Ovis aries: one gene and its partner. The protein of the gene in region 1 purifies or fractionates together with the protein of each later gene. This does not show direct contact. Links are inferred from orthologs where the notes say so. Each region holds a gene or a part of one and is shown in the gene's direction. Other genes may lie near its edges.

Region 1 (5,659 bases):
CTATAGCACATCTATATGCAATACTATCCACAACTAAATTAATGTTAAAAAGAAATAAACATACTTTTTTTTAATAACGTTGATTGTCTGTCAGTAAAACAAACAGGTTGTTTTGGAGAGGAAGGGAGTTCTTGATCAACATTATCCTAGAATGGCAGAAAAAAAATCATAACAAATTAGAAAACAAAAATTACAGTTAAGAAAATGCCAATAATGGGACTAAGAACTGAACTAAAAGTAGACAGGATAAAGCCCCCTCAAAATGCCCTAACTTTCCTAGCAGAGTCAGAATAATGAAAAGTCTGCTGAAACAATAATGCAGCTAATTAGTCATTCCTAAAGTCTAGCATGAAGGAATTCATGATCTTCAAGCCATGTCCACAGAATGCTAAAATAAATTTTTAACACTTTACAGAAGGTTAAACTTTCTCCAAACCTCATATGACATCTGGCTTGTGGTTCCACCAGGAACAGAACTGATTATAATAAGGAAGTGACATTCACACAGCAGAAGCTATTACTAGGTCAGTTTTTATAACAAATGAGTTTATAAACCTCAAAAACCAAAAAAGGACGCTGGACTAAAATACTTATTCTCTGGTGTATTATGAAGCCCATCCAATTTCCACATTATGTTACCCAGGTATTGAGGTCACAGTCTCTCATTATTGCCTCACTTTCAAAAGACCTACTTACTAATTTGTGCAGAGAGGCATCACCTCACTACTGACCTATTTATATGAAAAGAGTTGAAAGTTCTTATGCAGACAATTAATTTCTTAAAGAAACAATCTGTTCATCTTAGAGAACACAGCACCAAACAATGTGTTTACTTCAATAATAAGCTTTGTGTAGAAAGATTTCAGGATATTAATTTAGAAAAAATACACTTGGAGTGAACTAATTTGACTAATATACACACTTAAAGTTTCAGACCTAGAGTATAAGAGAAAACTCTCACTGTAAAGGGAATAATTAGGTCCATAATTTCAGTTTCACTGATACATAATCCTACCCGCTCCACTCAAGGGTGAAGTAGCTCATTCCTGAGACACAGATATTACTAGACAAAATGGTCTTATTTAAAAAGTAGTTTCACTAAAGAGAGGCCCCAAATTGGACCCTAAGAGTGGTATTAAACATGAGAATGTACTTAAGACTCTCAAATGTCTTGCTCTAAGAGATTACTCACAGTAACAAAATTAAGTTCTTTCATCACATCATCAATGATTCCCCGGCGTTTAAGGGCTTTGATCAAATCTTCGGTTGATAGCTGTTGTTGATCAGGTGCCAATTCTTCCCGAATCGTCTCAGCAAGGATTTCTCTTATCCTGCCATGGACATCCATCTAGGTAGAAAACTCGCATTAGGACTTAAAACGTCATAGAGCAGTCAAAGATAGCCAACTAGCTAACATCTTTGCAAAATATTGACCACAAAATAATAATAATGAGAGAGTAGTTAAACTCAGGAAGGTTTCTCAAGTAACAGTGTGAGATTGTTACCGAAATTCACTGAGAATAAAGGTAAGGTTTTTTAAAGGAAAAAAACTTTAAGGATAAATATTTTTAACTCTAAAAATAAGCTCTAAGCTTATCTATTACATTTGCTAGCACTTCCCCACAAATAACACCCGACTGAAACCAGTCTTTTGAGACTAGAGCAGAGCAGCGGAGGAGCGACCAAAGGCCAAAAGTAAACTCTCTCAACCTTTTAGTTGTGGCCGAGGGTTAACGGAGTGACCCTTTACGCGTCTGGGGGAGGCGGCGGGGGTCAGGACCGCCGCGGGGCAGGGAGACGCTAACACTCGGCACGGGGCGGCGGCTGGAGCCCCGGCTGACCCCGAGGACCGACAGCCCCTCCGTGCCGCCTCCCATGAAGTGACGGCCTCCGGCCCCTCAGCCCTCTCCCCGCGTATCCGCGGTGCCCGCTGGCCCAGCCCCCGCCCGCCCGCCGCCTCACCGCCTCACCGCCTCACCTTGCTCAGCTGCTGGTGGATGAGCTGCTTCAGCTCGGACGCCTTTTCCGGCGGCAGCGACATGCTGGCCTCCCCGTCGGGCACGCCGGCGGCCGCAGCGTCTCCGCGGCGGAGCCAGAGCCCGCGACCGCTCGCCTCGCGCGCTCCGGGGGCGGCCGCGTCAGGCCGGCGGGGGAACCGGGCGGCTCCAACTGCTGTTTCCAAACGGCGGCGAGGCTGTCCCCGCGCCGCCTGTCAGTCACCTCGGCCGGCGCCCCGGCTCGTCTCCGCCCGCAGACTCCGCGCCTTGACCGCCAGCCTGTTCCCGCGCGCCGCCCCGGCCGCCACCCCCGCCCGCAGCCCCTCCCGCGCGCCGCCCCGGCAGGCAGTGGGACGGGCACCTAAGGACCCCGCGACCGGGGCCTCGAAGGACCCCAGGAGTCGCCCGCACTTCCGGCCGCCGGCTCCTTGTGCCGCCGGCGAAACCATGTTCGTACCCTCCGGGGACTCGGTCCCCGACCTCGCGGGGTGCACCCTCCTAATGGTGAGTCGGGGCAGGGGTCTGGCGTCAGAGCGGCCCCCGGACGCGCGCGAGTCTGTGGGGCCGGGTCCTGGTGGCTGTGAGCGAAATGTGCGGGGACGTGACCTTGCGCTCCGTTGGTGCCGTGTGGGCCACTCGCTGTACCTTCTTGGAAAATCTTTTCTCCGCGAGCTCTGTATCGCGCTTAAGCTGGGGAGTGATTGTCGTTAGTCAGGAAACTGCAGACGGGCTGGTAAAGACTTGGCGACAGCACGCGATTCTATCGCGGTTCATTCATTGCTTCAGTGAGCGTTGTGTTGTGTCAGTGTGTAACGGTAAAACCAGGTTCTGTGTCTCAAGGAGTTCGCAGTCTAGTTGGGAACACACGTAAATAAATAAAGTTAGAACGTTGAAAGGGGTACAGAAAGACCCGGGGATTTATTGGGAAGGGGAGGGATACAAAGATCTGTTAAGAAAAGCTTCGTATGTGGAATTAAAAAAAACACATAGAACAGATTGGATGAAAGGGGTCAAAAGTACAAACTTTTAGTCAAAAATAAGTCCTGGAATGTAATTTGCAACGTAGTAACTATAGTTAACACTGTGTTGTATGTTTGAAAGTAACAGAGTAGATCTTAAAATTCTCATCACAAGAAAAAATAATTTTTTGACTGAGTGGTGATGATCGTTAAGTAGACCTGTTGAGGTAATCATATTGCAATGTGTACAGACGTTCAATCACAATGTTGTGCACCTGAAACTAACATATATGTATCCGTTTTTAAAAGGACGATGGTAATAGAAAAGTCACTTTTCGACAGTTTTCATAATGAAAGCAAGAAATGTCAGTGGGGACTTCCCTCCTGGTCCAGTAACTAGTACTCTGCGCTTCCACTACAAGGGGCATGGGTTTGATCCCTTGTCGAGGAACTAAGGTCCTGCTTGTGGTGCGGCTCAGAGCAAAAAAAAAGTATCAGTGAATGATAGAAGCAGCTTTGATAGTGTACTGAGGAAGAAAATTTGACTTCATTTCAAAGTGTCTCTCTGAAAAATATTCGTTAATCACAAAAGGGAAAAAGTATTTTTGCAGGAGATACCTGGCAGAAAGAAAACGTCATAGAGAAAATAGTGTCCACAGGTTACTAGCAGTACCCTTGATGGTGAAGAGGGAAGCCATATTGGATTGAAGAAATGGGAGATGATGTGGAGATCTGTATGTTTGTGCTTTTGTTCCTGAATTCAGAGATAAAGTTCCTGCTTGTGTCTTAGTGGACAGACTGTAAGGAATTTGGGCTCTGGAGGGACACTGAGAAGTGACAGCGAGTTTTTCAGAAGGAAAGATTTTAGAGGGTGTGAATATGCTGATGGGAGAATCCAGTAGTGAGGAAGAAACGAACGATACCGGAGAGTGAGGGTCTAACCAAAGTAGCAAAAAAGGGAAAGGGAATTAAAGGAGGTAACCAGGGGATTGGTACGGGAGGGCCCAAAGTGGGAGGCTGCTCTGAAGGACCCATAGAGGCCAAAAACGAGCAGTTGCTAGAAGAGTGCAGAGGAGGAGGTATAGTGAAGAGAAACTTTGGAGACAGGATCAATGAAAATTAGTCCTGTCCTGCTGTGGCTGCTGAGGGGAAGGGAAGCAGGTCCCTGGTTTAGGTAACTGGGTGAGTAATTGTTGCTGTTTTCTGAAGTGCAAAGTAGGGAGCAGGTTGGGCAGATGCTTTGTTTTGTACCTGCTGGTTTTAACATAACTGTGTGGAGATAGCCATTAGGCTTTGGAGTTCAGGTGAGTGTTTGGGGTGTAGGTAGAGATGTGGTAGTTGGCTATTTGAAGTCATGAAAGAGAGAGTATGTGTGTGAGAGAGAGAGAAAGAGAGTGAGCGAGTGTGTGTGTGTGTGTGTGTGTGTGTGTGTGCGCAGCATGAAAAGAAGCTCCCTCCAATCTTTAGGCACTAACGAACCAAATGGAAAGAAGACCCACGAACTCTGTTGTTCATACCTCACAGCCTCCGCACCTGCTTTACCACTGCCTGACCTCATCATATCCCAAGTCTTGGTGTGACTGTCTCCCTTACCTTTCAGGGCTGTAGTTACTTGGCCACCTGAAGTGACTGTTTCCTTGACCACCCCTTTTGAACTTGCAGTCACCCATAAACACACACACCCTTACTGACTTAAATGTTTTCTATAGTACTTACTGCTATGTATTTTACTATCTATTTTGTTTGCCCCAGCAAACCACCCCCTCACTAGATGGAACTCCACAAGGGCAGGAACTCTGATCCATTTGTTTACTGCATCCTCAGTGCCCAGAACAGGGGTTGACACATAGCAGGTATTCAGTAAGTATGCAGTCAGTAGTCTCCAGGTGGAGCTAATGAAAAGCTCAGAACCCAGGTGTGATGCACCTGAGCATTGGCGTCCAGTACGTCCACTGTGACTGTCGTCTTCTGTCTAAACTTCTTAAAGTGCTGCTGATTTGGATAACTTAATGAACTTTTTTTTTTTTTACTGTTTCAGCCAGCAGTATCTGTTGGAAATGTTGGCCAGCTTGCAATAGATCTGATTATTTCCACACTGAATATGCATAAGATCGGTTACTTCTATACTGACTGTCTTGTGCCAATGGTTGGAAACAATCCATATGCAACTGCAGAAGAGAATTCAGCGGAGCTCAGTATAAATGCTGAAGGTGTGTTATATCCTTCCACAAGGCAGATTTGTGTCAAGTCACAGCCAGACTCTCCCTGGGTGTCCGTTGGTACCTGGAGTGGCTCTTTAGAATCCACAGCGGTGCCCTCCTCTCCTGCACACACCCTGGATTACAGCCCCCTCAAGAGATGTGCTTGTATTTGTACCCTTGGATAGAATGATTTTTAACATGGGGTTTCCCCCTCTTATCCTCAGTTTTACTTTCTGTCCTCCTGGCACGTGTAAGCATTGCTAACACTGGGCTCAGGCCTATGTGTTTAATGTGCAGCGCCCCATGCAGGCTGAAGTCATCTGTCACACAGTGGTAGCATTCATCGTAATGCACACTGACCCGGCTCAGAGAGGCAAGTCACTTGACTGCAGGAGGCCTAGGCCCTTCCCACGCCACCCATCTCCACAGTTCCCTGCTGTGCTGTCAGTTGGGGTTAGTCAGGGCTCGCAGCGTACAGACCAACCACTGTGTTCCTCTGGCC
Region 2 (4,933 bases), on another chromosome or scaffold:
ACAGTGATTAAAACATTTCTTTATGGGCAGGCAGTCATTGCTGCTTCCACATTTATCTTCTAGCTGGAAATGATTGTAAGCACTTGATGAAAGTAGTAACTGACACATCTGTATTCATTTTAATTCCAGTGTTCTTGAGTTTGGTTGTGAAAATGATGAGGTAATTACTGAAATGTAAAACCAGTGGAAAAGCTGCATTTGCTGAAATCTGCTATTTTATTAGGACATGAAGTGTTACCCACATTTATTAACCCCAATATTTGTATCAGTCTATTTACCAAAATGATCTGACTATTGTTCCTCAGTACCATAAAGAAAATTCATTTTGAATTGATTTGTTTAGAAAGGTGTTAAATGCTGTTTAAGGAACTCAGAAGTCTAATTCGGTGACCTGATAACTCGCTTTACTTGAGAGTATTAATAACTTCTTACATTAAGTTGACCTTAACACCATGAAGGTGCCGATTAATTTTCATTTCTCTTTGTTCAGTGGTGTTCGCCCATTTGGAGTTTCTTTACTTATCTGTGGTTGGAATGAGGGACGGCCATATTTATTTCAGTCAGATCCATCTGTAAGTACCATTAGATGTATTTGAGGAGTTTGTTAAAGTGCTCTTTGAGTACCTAATAGAAATAGAAGCCATAAAAACCTTACAAATTAGAGTATTTTCTCTTCCATTTGGGCTTTAGAAGTAATACATGTTCACTTGTACATTTAAAATGTTGATAACTTCATCTTCTGATAAGGAACCTCCTTTAGTTCTGCCCTCTGTTCTTCTGGCATGCTGATTAACTTCACATACTTAGAATGATTTGTTGAAGTAGTTGTTATCAAATCTCTGTAAATCTGTGGAATTCTTTTTAAAATTATGATTAAAGCTGATTTTAATTCTAAGTTCAGTTAAAACCTTTCTGGGAGTGGGCAGTGCCCTTTGCCATTAGTTTAATCTTGGGGTTGACTTGAAGTGACTCTTCTGCAGAAATATTGATGTTACTGTCATGACTGATGTTTTGCAAAATGAGTGAGTCGTCTGCTATAAAGCAGAAGATTGGTGTCTGGGTTGGCAGGTGTCTGGAGAAGCACCACTCCTCCACGTGTGTCTCACGTCTGTCACTCATGTTTACTGTGAGGAGACCCAGAAAAAAAGATTCACTATTAGAAACTGACCTTTCATAGTTTATAGATCATTAGGTAATGTCAGGTTTACTCGATGCACATCTTATACTCTAGCTTTGTAATTTGAAAAAGCAAAAATATTTAGGTTGTTAATTAAATCAGAAAAATTAAGTATTTGAGGAACTTTGACAGTGTCTGTTATCCCATATCTGAGCTTCTGAAGCTAAATGCCAAGTCCTCTTATCTTCTTTTCCTGAGAGTAGCAGAGCCGCCATCATGGGAATCCAGCTTTCATCTTTTGCCCTTTCCCCCTGTTATAGCTAAAAGTCACTTGTTTTCTTTTAAAATATGGTCTGTTGCTTTCAGTTTCTGTACATGTGTGCATATGTACTTTTTCAGTAGATGAGTCATATATGATGTGGTAGCTGTTTTTGTGTAACTTTAGATTACAAAAATCAACACCTTTGAAAATTTTTAGTGCAAAGCTGTGTCTTTTTAGTTTGTTCACCAATGGTCACCATTTTTCAGATAGATATGATTTTTAGAGCCTTTCAATCGTAGTAAGCTAAAATATTACTTTTGATTATTTGCTCTAAATTAACCTCGTTTCTTTTTTTCACATAAATTTTGTACAGTAAATTATACGTATTTGATGGGGTTTTGATGTATTAAATACCTGAGAAAATCATCAACACAATCAAGATGCTGTACCTCCAAAAGTTCTTCATGCCTCTTTGTTATCACATTGATTTATTTTGTGACATAGCTCATTGCATTCCAATAAATATTCTGAAACTCTTAGAGACAAATTATGGAACTGAGAAATAAATGTCAGAGTCATAAATAATTATATTAATGATTTAAAATGTGTGTTTTTGTTTTTGTTTCCTCTTCCTCTCCTGATTAGGGAGCTTACTTTGCCTGGAAAGCCACAGCAATGGGAAAGAACTATGTGAATGGGAAGACTTTCCTTGAGAAAAGGTAGATTTATAAAACTAGATTCATTACCACACTTACTCTACAGTCTTCAGCTCTCTGTAAATAATTTCATTAATTTATAAACAAATTTGTAGCATGACTGTAGTCAAGCCTAGCTACTGATAGAACAAACTTACTTGTCTGTACTTGGGCTCCTCAGCCTTCAACATATTAAGTGGTAGTATTCATTTCTTAAGGACTTCTCTTTCTACATTCTCATGTTTTCCTAAATGTTTTTTTTATTTTTTTTACTTCATTTTTTTCTACCATCTCAAAAAAAAAGAGACCATTGGATTTGGAGTAAAAAATTTGGGAAGAAAGTTTTTAAATGGTTTAAGTGATAACAGTTTGTATGTGTGCTCAGTCACTCAGTCATGACTGGTTCTTTGAGGACACGCCAGGCTCCTCTATCATTTTCATTTTGACAATTTCCAAAAAATATATATATATGGTGAACGCAAGTACCTGGTGTTGATGGTAGATTAAAGATGTGACATACGGGGCTTCCCTGGTGGTCTGGTGGTTAAGAATCCTTCTGCCAATGCAGGGGACACAAGTTTGATCCCTGGTCTGGGAGGATCCCACATGCTGCAAAGCAACTAAGCCCATGGGCTACAACTAGAGCCTGTGCTCCTCAATAGGAGAGTAGCACCTGCTCACCTCAACTAGAGAAAGCCCGCACATGGCTACGAAGACCCAGTGCAGCCAAATAGAAATTAAAAAACAAAAAAAGACGTGATGTATGTACTTGATAAAAAGTGGAATGATACATAAAAATCTGCCCCTGCCCAGCACAGCAGACTGCCCTCACTTAATTCCAGCTGTATTCTAGACTCGGCATTATTGTAGCCCACCAAAAAGTGTCCTATGTTTTGGATGGGAGGAGTCTGCAATTGATTTTAACCACCAAATGAACCTTTTCAGTACATTCTCAGATAATATTAATGCTAAGATTACTTAAAAATCTTAGACCTGGGATTACTTGGTAAGCTTAAATAATCTTAGGATCTTAAAGCACTTTATTTTTCATCTTACGTATTATTGGTGAGTCTTCCAAACGTTATGAAATTTTACTAGAGGTTTGATTTCTCCGCTTTATTTTTATAAATTGTTATAATATTGCCACCACATGCTGATCATATTAAAATACTTAAGGAAATTTCTTAAGTAAACTCGTGTTAGGGTTACACTCTTCATGATGTCAGGAATGCACCCTAAATAATTGTCAGTTTCTTATTTTGGGGACAGCTCAGTGAGGAGACTAGGAGAATTAATCTGTAACTTTTTATATTTTTAAGAATGTCTTATTAGATGTTTTAAAATCTTATGCTGTTGCTATCATTGTGTTTTCTTAGTCATGAATCATCTTAATAGTGCCATAAGTCATTGTTTTTCTTTAAAAAAAAATTCTTTAGATATAATGAAGATCTGGAACTTGAAGATGCCATTCATACAGCCATATTAACCCTAAAGGTTAGTTCAATATCTACTGATTGGATTTGTAGTGATTTTATAATTAACTGTTGAGAAAATTGACCTTTTCCCCTCCTTCATCAGGAAAGCTTTGAAGGGCAGATGACAGAAGATAATATTGAAGTTGGAATCTGCAACGAAGCCGGATTTAGGAGGCTTACCCCAACTGAAGTTAAGGATTATTTGGCTGCCATTGCATAATAATGCAAATAATGAAGTGACTGAAAATCCAGAATTTCAGATAACTTCTCTACTTAAACATGTTTAAAGTATGTTTTGTTTTGCAGACTTTTTGCATACTTATTTCTACATGGTTTGATGGACTGATGTTTTTAAAATGAGACTTATAAATCATAATAAACTCTTAAATTAACTTCCAGCTTTTTAGGAGTTAGTAAACTTTTAACATAGTTATATTTCCTGCTTTCCATCACAGTTGATTTCTGGAAACTACATTGAAAAGCAGAATGGTGAAATTGGTCTTTAATCTTCACACAGTTTGGATTAAGTCAAACTTTGTCATCTTCTTTACTGTCAGATGTTTTCTGCTTTAGGAAAGCAAAATCCTGATTTCAGTAAACACTGCTTTTGGAGCTGAGAGAATCTGTAGACTTTCATGGATTCTGAGGCAAGGTAGGAAGCATAGCTGTATTTCGGGCACCATTAGGTGTGGATCAGTGAAACCTAGGATGTTCTATGAGATTGCTCTGGAGCTGCCGAGAGTGCTAAGCCACAGTCTCCTATAGGAGATGTACCATGTAGATACATAAAAAACGGTGTGCTAGTTCCTGTTGACTTTTCCATCACTAGTACGTAAATGTATTTCAAAAGAGCCCCCTAGAGTCTACTAGATCTTTCTAACTCAAGGATGAACGTGAGTGCTGGAAATAAAATACTAATACTTAAATGTCAAAATTACGGCTTAAGTCTCTCCCTCATTCATGAAACCTCTGTAATCAGAACCTTCACTGCACTTTAAGACTTCCAACAGCAAGCTAATCATGGAATATCAGAACCCTGTTTCCATTATATGTGAAGGCATAGCACTTAAAGCTTTCTTTGTTTTTTTAAGGCATCGTAGGATGAGAGAAATCCTGTCATTAGTCTTGCTCACAGAACATAATTTATGAATGTCATTTTTCTTACCAACAAAGAGATGGGGATTTCTGTGGCTTAAATGTGGGTCAAAAGATCTCAAAAGATTTGGTTAAGTTTAGCCTTCTTAGGAAAGAGACTTATCTTGGAGTATTTTTGTCAGGATTCCCAGTTCTCCCTACTGTCACCGTAACCCCTAGAGTGGCAGGAGTGTTATGATGAGAGATGGGAGATGCCAACTTGACTGTTTCTAGACGTTTGTCTTGAAGG

The links. The genes of interacting proteins can lie anywhere in the genome.
Region 2: the proteins of PSMG2 (region 1) and PSMA2 purify together in Homo sapiens (affinity purification with mass spectrometry; 4 studies listed by BioGRID and IntAct, with this or other methods). This does not show direct contact. The link is inferred for Ovis aries from reciprocal best matches to the Homo sapiens genes PSMG2 and PSMA2.

The regions. Positions count from the first base shown.
Region 1 is NC_056076.1:43,562,276-43,567,934, forward strand, and holds the start of PSMG2 (proteasome assembly chaperone 2), read left to right. Parts: upstream 1-2,422; 5' UTR 2,423-2,444; coding exon 2,445-2,501; intron 2,502-4,994; coding exon 4,995-5,166; intron 5,167-5,659. Other genes in the region: CEP76 (centrosomal protein of 76 kDa), read right to left, coding at 65-146, 1,193-1,348, 1,979-2,041. UniProt on the Homo sapiens protein: Chaperone protein which promotes assembly of the 20S proteasome as part of a heterodimer with PSMG1.
Region 2 is NC_056057.1:79,798,669-79,803,601, forward strand, and holds part of PSMA2 (proteasome subunit alpha type-2), read left to right. Parts: intron 1-490; coding exon 491-572; intron 573-2,024; coding exon 2,025-2,098; intron 2,099-3,510; coding exon 3,511-3,568; intron 3,569-3,652; coding exon 3,653-3,769; 3' UTR 3,770-4,933.